2 linked regions of the Coturnix japonica genome follow. Each later gene encodes a partner of the first gene's protein in a complex. Links are inferred from orthologs where the notes say so. Each region holds a gene or a part of one and is shown on either strand. Other genes may lie near its edges.

Region 1 (3,811 bases):
GTCGTAACCAGAGGTGACAGTACAGGCATTTCACTCTGATCCTTTGGCTGTGGCTGATTATTGGATTCTGAGCTTCTGGTGCCATCATCTGATTGTATTTTTTATTTTTATTTAGGTGAAAGAGGTGGACACAGCTGGAGAGTGGTTTAAAGAAGGAATGAAACTGGAAGCTATAGACCCCTTAAACCTTTCAGCAATATGTGTGGCAACTATTAGAAAGGTAAGAAAACCAACATTGGTTGTCAGAAGACAGAAGAACCATTTTACATTCACCTTTGTTTCAGGTTAGAAACAAAGCTCAGAAAATGAATCCATTAATTGTTAGATACAGCTACTGTGGAAAAGAACATATGTATGTTCAATTTTGATTTTAATCTCTGGAGATTCAGCCTTACATTTAACTAATATATGCAATACTTGTGAGATTAATTTTCAAGACAGTCTTCTGCTAATTATCCCAAGTATTTTGCTGTTGTGTTCAAAACAAAAGCCTCATCTTGCTTGCTGGAGTCTGTGAAGGTAAGATTTTTCTAGATTGATTAAAAGGGATCTCACCAACATTAAATCTTTATTAAAATGGAAGAGAAATGGACTAAAGAAGTAGCATAGCAACTTTGCGTAAGCTTACCAATGAGTGCGGTCATTATTTCAAATCTCTTTTTCTTGATAGTGTGCAGAATATCTTACAGGTAGAGTAAACTGAAGCATAAAACTTTAAAGATAGAACTGATACGCTCACATAAAATAAACTAGAGCTCAGAAAAAGGAAATGTTCGTCTCATAACTTTGCAGTTCACAAAGGTACATTTGACAATAGAGCACACAGTCTTGGAGACAGGTATGATTTCAGTTTGTTTTGCTTTTCCTGTTTTATTGTAATTGAATGTACTTCTAAGTGCTTTCATTATGAGTTACTTTTCACTCTTGAAACATGGCATGTTTTCTTTCTAGCGTTATCACACAGTTCAAGGTATTTAATGTCAAATTTTGTTTTTCTTTACAAAGGTTTTAGCAGATGGCTATCTTATGATTGGGATTGATGGCTCAGAAGCAGCAGATGGGTCTGATTGGTTTTGTTACCATGCCACTTCCCCTTCTATTTTCCCTGTTGGTTTCTGTGAAATTAACATGATTGAACTAACTCCACCCAGAGGTACATATAGAATTCTGACCACATTTTATTTTGAGTATTTTTCAGTGATATTGTATGTGCCATATGCTTTGTTTCTTAAATCAGTCTACAAAATTCATTTCACTTTTTAGGATGCTCTCAAGTCAGAAACGAATAAAACAGCTCAACTTGAAAATAACCTTCAAAACAGAGAAACTTATAACTGAGAAAAAGGGAAATCGAACGTCCTTATGATACACTGGCTATTTGCCTTTACTGCTGTAATTTGAGGACAGCTGCTAGTTGAGCAGCATAGCCATTATGTGAATGGGAGATAGAAATATGCAAGTCGCTGAATGGTCTGTTTATAAATTGTCTTGGTAAATCCAGACCTGCAGAGGTTTAATGAACACTGTAAAGACTTGAGTTAATCAGTGACAGTAGCAGTAAATTTCAGAAGAATATGCACAAACCTGAACTGCAGGGAAGTAGCCATTAGAGCTGTATGCCGCATCATCCCTTCTGTGAGAATAAGCTGTCTGTCCACCAGCACATGTGCCTTCAGAAGACTTACTGCCTTCATCTTTTGATTTGTATTATCAAGGTCTAGCAGCTTACAAAGGGAATTTTAATTAGGCATGTAACAGCAAATAATGATGGGTTTGAGATGGTTTTTCTTCATTCTGCTTGCAGGCTTCTACTTGTATTTATTGAATGATTTTCTAGGTAATAACTGTGTAACACAACACAAAGAATGTTATATTCGTATTATTGCACACTACTGAATTTGTCATCCTTGAATATTTTTAAGGGCATTTAAGGCAAATTTGCTATTTTCCAGTTAACTAGTGAATGTATTGCCTAGAAACTCATGAGCATGGTCATACCTGCAAAATGTGCTGCAGGAGTCTGGACTTGTGTATGATAGTAGTCCACACATACAGTTCCAGAGGAACTGTACATTAACAAGCATTAATTCTCAAAACCAAGAGATCTCCCTTAACAATTAGCTTTCCTGTTGCATCTCTTCCTGCAGACAGTTACGTACCAAAAGTGAACACCTTTCTTTTTAGCTTACATTTAGCAGTGTGGATGTGTTACATCAGTTACTGTGAAACCCCTGCAATTCCTGCTTTTAAGTTGATTCCTTTCTAATATCTTCATCTCTTGCTGAAACCAGCAGAAGCTGAAGGTGCTTTAATACTCATAAGACTTTTAGGCACATTCAGCAGATGAACAAAAGCTGAGTATATAAGAAATGGGAAAGGTAAAAAACCAAATAACTTATAAGATCAGGGGAAAAAAATCCTGTAATTTATTCTATTATTGCTAACCTTAACTTTATTATTGAAGGTTTTAAGTATCCATACTTGTTCTTTGAATCTGTTCCTAATGCATCAAATTTTCCAGTAGTGGAGCTCTTTCCCCACAGGAAAGACACTGGATGTGCTTAATTACGTTATGTGCTCTGGGTCATTTGTGTGGGGCATTGTAGAGATGAAGGATCTGCGTGAACAGAAAGCTTCAAGTGTCGACAATTGATCTTAACATCAAATGATACTTTGTGCATTATCCAGAAATTCATTCATCTTTGTTGCAAAAAGGCAGTGTCCAGTTGACTGTGTTGTCCATTAGGCCAGAGCTCAGAGAATGGAGATTCCTGATGTTAATGTTTTGCATTTTTGCCTTTTTAGCCATAGCACAGTACCACTGTTGTATTCTTGTTGATGTTCTAACATACAAAGTTTGCAGTTGATTTATGAAAGTATTGTTTAAAATTTACAGGTTATACAAAACTCCCTTTCAAATGGTTTGACTACCTCAGGGAAACTGACTCAATAGCAGCACCTGTAAAGCTCTTCAATAAGGTAATAAACACTAAGTGTCCGTCTTTATGTTTAATTTGGGGTTTTCTTCACACTGCAATATGTTCTTCACACTACAATCTGTGTGCTCACGGGATTAACCTGTTTCTTTAAGTACAGTTGTGAAAAACTAACCCAATGGATTAGAATATAATCAGACAGCCCTTATTCCTGGAGTCTGAAATTGTTCCACACAGTCCTGTACTTACCTTCATAAATGATGCTTGAAAATTTCTTAAGCTAAAGTGACTGAAATGTTTGTTTCAGCACCGTTTGCATATCCAATTTAATTTACGCTTTTTTCACATTTGCTGCCTTGATGTGTTTCCTTTCCCAGGAAGTTCCAAACCATGGGTTTCATGTTGGAATGAAACTGGAGGCCGTTGATCTGATGGAACCTCGCTTGGTCTGTGTGGCCACGGTAACTCGCATCATCCATCGTCTGCTGAGGATACACTTTGATGGGTGGGAAGATGAGTATGATCAGTGGGTGGACTGTGAGTCCCCAGACCTCTACCCAGTGGGATGGTGTCAGCTAACTGGATATCAGCTGCAGCCTCCAGCACCACAGTGTAAGTTCTGCCTTGTAAATAATGCAGTTGCTCACTAAGTATAACAAAACAGAAGAAATTCTCACTGATGCTTAGAAGTGTACAGTTCCAATCTCTTCCTCATTGACTTTTAAAGTACTTCTGGGCATCTCTGTGGCAACTTAGTAGTTCACTGTTTTGTTGCCAGAAGATGCTTATTTGATGTAAGGGGAAAAAAAAGCCTGTATTAATTATGGAACAAGTCTGGAGAGAGAATTTGTAGTGATTGAAGTTAGCAAATAGAT
Region 2 (4,597 bases), on another chromosome or scaffold:
CAAAACGATCGAAATCCAGCATTAGCATTTTTGGCAAAGGGCCGTTTCAAAGTGAAAGAAGCAAAAGGAGAAACCCTCCCCCGTGTGATTCCCCGGGAGCAGGAAGGGTGGGACGCCCCGATCCTTCCGTCCCAGTCATTTCAGTTGCGAGACTCTGTGAGTAATCAGCCCTGGGGTGAACCACGCACGGCCCAGGGGGGGCACCGAGCTGTGGGGCCGGCTTTAGGGTTTACCTATGGAGAAAGCAAAGCTTTGTGCCCTGAACAGTCAGCCCCACATCCCGGCCCCACATCCCTTCCCCACATCCAGCGGGGTCTGAGATGCTTTAAGATTTTGCATTAGAAAAAATAATGCCCCGTACCCAGAGCAATCAGCCCCACAACCACCGACCACCCCCCCCGACACCCCCTTTAGTCTAAGAGAGGCCCCAGAGATGGGATGAGAGCTTTAAATGCTGCACTGCTGGGGATCAGCCGAAGTGAACGCACTTCACATCACGCAGCTCTGCCACCAAGATTGAAACCCAGCAGGAAAAACACCCTGACCAACACCAGACTGCCCTGCAAAGCAAACGGCGGCGCAGATCCCAGCAGGGAGGGAGAAGAGGTTGAGACTCGTGCACTTCTATCCCATGTGAAGCTCTCCACGCTCTCTGAGCTTTATGGAGGCGGCAGCTCCTCCTCCGGGTGAGAGAGGTGAGATGTGTGACATCTCCGAGCTCCCAAAGGGAACTCAAAGCACGGCGGGAGGAGAAAGAGCAGCTTCACCCTGAGCCGGCAGAGCCACGGACCCCCCCATTCCTCACAGCGCCGTGGGAACAGCAGGGAGCACCAACAAAGGGGGCGGGGAGGGGGCACAGACCCATTTCCAGAGGCTCCAAATGAGGAGCGCGATGCCAGGAGGCCGCCGAGATGAGGCCCCGCTGGGCAGCAGCCCCCCAGCCGTCCCCCTTTGGGCAACCAGAAGCTCTCCGTGCTCTGCCCTGCAATCAGGAACGGCCTCAGCGCTCTGTGCCAGGGACGGCGGTAGAAATCACTCCGGTTCCACGTCCAGCATCCCTAAACCAGACCCATTACCACCAACTTCGAAGGCAATAAGGAGTGTAAGCCCCCTCTCAACACTGACACGGCCGAATCGCAGCTCTAAGTGCCCCCCATCATCCCTACCCCGGGCCGAGGGCAGCCCCACACCCCCCATATCCCCCACATACATCACTATATGGTGACCAACCCCCCTCCCCCCCACACGGTGCCAAACGGCCCCACAGCCCCCAACGGCCGCGACACCCCACCGGGCAGGGGGAGACCGTCACCTCAACCCCCCCCCCCCCCCCCCCCCCCCCCCCCCCGCCCCCCCCCCCCCCCCCCCCCCCCCCCCCCCCCCCCCCCCCCCCCCCCCCCCCCCCCCCCCCCCCCCCCACCAGCCGCTCCTCGTCCCTCCGGCTCTCAGCTCCGCCTCCCCCGCCGCCCCCGGGCCCGGCCTTAGTCCCCCCGTACCCCCGAGGCCGCCGCTGCTGCCGCTGCTGCCCCCCGACTCGGGCCCCGCCGCCGCCATCTTGCCGCCTCCTGCGCCCGCCGCCGCCTCGCGCGAGGCCACGCCCCCTCGGTACCACCCACGTATGGAGGAGGGGGGGGATGTGAGTCACGTGCTCCTCGAGCAGCCAATAGAAATCAACCCAGTCTTCCGGACCTCCGGGCCGCAAGGGGGCGCTACATCGTTCGCTCCGCCCCTACGGCAGGACGACGAGTCGAGCGCCGATGGCGGCGGAGGCGCCGCGATGAGTTTGGCTGAAGGCCGCGCCCCGCGGCGCACGGCGGGGAACCGGCTGTCGGGATTGTTGGAGGCCGAGGAGGAGGATGAGTTCTACCAGACCACGTATGGGGGGTTCACTGAGGTGCGACGGCCGGGACGGGCTGGGGCAGGGGGGCTGCGGGGCGGTGTGAAGCCTTAGAGGGGGGACCCGGGGCCTAAAGGGGGTCGGGGGTCGTGAGGGGTCCGGGGAGTCGTCAGGAAGGAGATTTATGGGGGTGTGAGGTGGACTGAAGGGTTTGAGGGGGTTGTGAGGCCTTAGACGGGGGTTGGGAGGGAACCCGGGGCCTAAAGGGGGTCGGGGGGGTGCGGGGGGTCCTCAGGGGAGGCCTGGAAGGGGATTTATGGGGGTGTGAGGGGAGATGAGAGGGTTGCAATGGAGGCTGAGTGGGATCGGGGACATTTAGAGCCCTGAAGGGGTTGGTGAGGGAAACTGGGGGGGGTCCTGGAGGGGCTGGGGGCACTGAGGGGTCAGAATGGGGACGGAGGCACTTAGGAGGACAGAATGGGGCAGGGGTGGCTTTAGATGGTCTTTAACAGGGGCTCCAAATGGGGCTGGGAGGACCCCCAGGGGCAGCTGTCAATGAATGGCCCATGGGGGGGTGGTGGAGCGCAGCCCTGGCTGTGACGCTGCCCATCTGTCCCTGCAGGAGTCGGGGGATGATGAGTACCGGGGCGACCAGTCGGACAGTGACGATGAGGTGGACTCCGACTTTGACATCGATGAGGGCGAGGAACCGACGAGCGACCAGGATGAGAGCGAACCCAAACGGCGCCGCCGCGTGGTCACCAAGGCCTACAGGGTGAGGAGGGGAAAGTGGGGATGGGGCTGGGTCCATCCCAGTGTCCTCTGACCTGCTGGGAAGGGATACGGATGGCCCCAGATGGATGGGATAATTAGCAATCTGCTAATTGCTGACTGTGGGGAGGACGTGTCCCTTGGAGGACATGGGGCAGCCCCATGTGGTTTCTCCCTCCTCACATCCCTCCTGCCCAACCCTTAGGAGCCCATCAAGAGCCTTCGACCCAAGAAGGCCGACACCCCCAGCAGCAGCTCCCAAAAGGCCCGAGAGGTGAAATTAGCCCCACTGGAACTCCAGGATGAAGTAGGAGACAGTGAGTGCAGTCAGGATGGGATGTGCCAGCATCCCTGGGCTGGAACCAGGCACCCCACTGCCCTGGGAGCTGTGCTGGCCCCACACTGAGCCCCATCCTCCCACTGCAGGCCGGAAGCACATGAGGCAGTCAACAACAGAGCACACACGTCAGACCTTCCTGCGTATCCAGGAGCGCCAGGTTCAATCCAAGCGCAAGAAGGGAGGCCCCAACTACGACCGCCCGCTGACACAGGAGGAGCTGCTGGAGGAGGCCAAGATCACGGAGGAGATCAACCTCCGCTCGCTGGGTGAGGAGAGCACAGGGATTGGGAATGGGATGGGGGGTGTAGTGGGGGGTGCTGAGACCCTCTGGGCTCATCTCTGCTTCCCCAGAGAACTACGAACGCCTGGAGGCTGATAAGAAGAAGCAGGTGCAGAAGAAGAGGAAATGCGTGGGGCCCGTGATCCGGTACTGGTCCGTCACCATGCCCCTCATCACAGAGCTGGGCAAGGAGGAGAATGTGGACGTGGAGGGGTGAGTTGGGAACAGCAGATGGGATCCTGATGCTTTTCCCTTATGCTGCACACAGTCCCCATCGCTCCCATCCCTGGGGCTCAGTGTGGAGCAGCATGTTTAGTGCTGCCCACAGCCTGGGCTCCCCCAGCTCCGTGCATCCCTTAGAGCTGATTGTGGCTCTTCCAGGTTGGACCAAGACCCTCAGCAGGCAGAAGCTGCTCCAGCCTCCAGCTCCAAGTGCTCCCGCACCTTCATCTCCTTCACTGATGATGAAACCTTTGAACGTTTCTTCCCCAAATCGAAGGCTCCGCGGTTGCCGGTGCGGGAGATCTGCCCTGTAACCCACAAACCCGCTGTATATCGTGACCCCATCACTGACATCCCCTATTCCAACATCCGAGCCTTTAAAATCATCCGTGAGGCTTACAAGAAATACATCACGGCCCACGGGCTGCCCAGCGCCGCTGCTGCATCCGCTGCTTTGGGGGCTGCTCCTCCTGGCCCTGACCCTGGTCTGAGAGCCACGCGGCAGAAGATCATCATCAAGCAGAGCGTGCCCACGGCCTGAGAGCGCCTGTTCCTTGTTCCATGTCAACCTGTTTTGTGTTGTTGTTTTCTTGGCTTCTTTTTTGTAATAAAAAGGAGAAAAAAGAAGGAGCTGGAGGTGAGGGGGGAGCGCAGGTCGTGCCCTTGTTGCTGGGTTATCCAGCAGGATGAAATGAAGCCTTGTTTGCAGGCAGATCCATGCAGTGCCCCACACACCCTCCCATAGTGTTCAGATTGGGGCTGGAGGTGAGAAGGGCACACAGGCGGTCTCAGAGCTGTGGGATGTGGGGCAGCTCCGGGACATGTGGGGCAGCCTCTCTCTGCGGTGATAGAGGTGCCTCCCACAGCACCAACCCCAAACCTTCACCCCCCCCCCGATGGGGCGGACGCAGCGATGAGCCCCGATGCCCCGGGGGGGTGGGGGGGGCTCCTGAGGGCGGCGGGTACCGGGTGGAGCAGCGCGGGGCGCTGGTAGGGCTCGATAACAGCGGGATATGTGATCTCGCCCCTCCCCACTGCCGGCTCGCAGAATAAAACGCTGATCTCATGCCCTGCGCGGCCGGAGCCCTTGGCTCAGCACCGGGCACAGCCCAGGCAGGATACACAGCGCCGGGCAGCAGCCAGGTAC

What was found.
Region 2: MBTD1 (region 1) and VPS72 share a complex: the UniProt entries of both Homo sapiens proteins name them as parts of the nuA4 histone acetyltransferase complex. The link is inferred for Coturnix japonica from reciprocal best matches to the Homo sapiens genes MBTD1 and VPS72.

Annotation. Positions count from the first base shown.
Region 1 is NC_029533.1:8,729,350-8,733,160, forward strand, and holds part of MBTD1 (MBT domain-containing protein 1), read left to right. Parts: intron 1-115; coding exon 116-220; intron 221-1,005; coding exon 1,006-1,153; intron 1,154-2,896; coding exon 2,897-2,979; intron 2,980-3,313; coding exon 3,314-3,548; intron 3,549-3,811. UniProt on the Homo sapiens protein: Chromatin reader component of the NuA4 histone acetyltransferase complex, a multiprotein complex involved in transcriptional activation of select genes principally by acetylation of nucleosomal histones H4 and H2A.
Region 2 is NC_029540.1:2,245,226-2,249,822, reverse strand, and holds VPS72 (vacuolar protein sorting-associated protein 72 homolog), read left to right. Parts: upstream 1-1,714; 5' UTR 1,715-1,777; coding exon 1,778-1,894; intron 1,895-2,459; coding exon 2,460-2,612; intron 2,613-2,813; coding exon 2,814-2,925; intron 2,926-3,034; coding exon 3,035-3,214; intron 3,215-3,299; coding exon 3,300-3,441; intron 3,442-3,609; coding exon 3,610-3,991; 3' UTR 3,992-4,077; downstream 4,078-4,597. UniProt on the Homo sapiens protein: Deposition-and-exchange histone chaperone specific for H2AZ1, specifically chaperones H2AZ1 and deposits it into nucleosomes.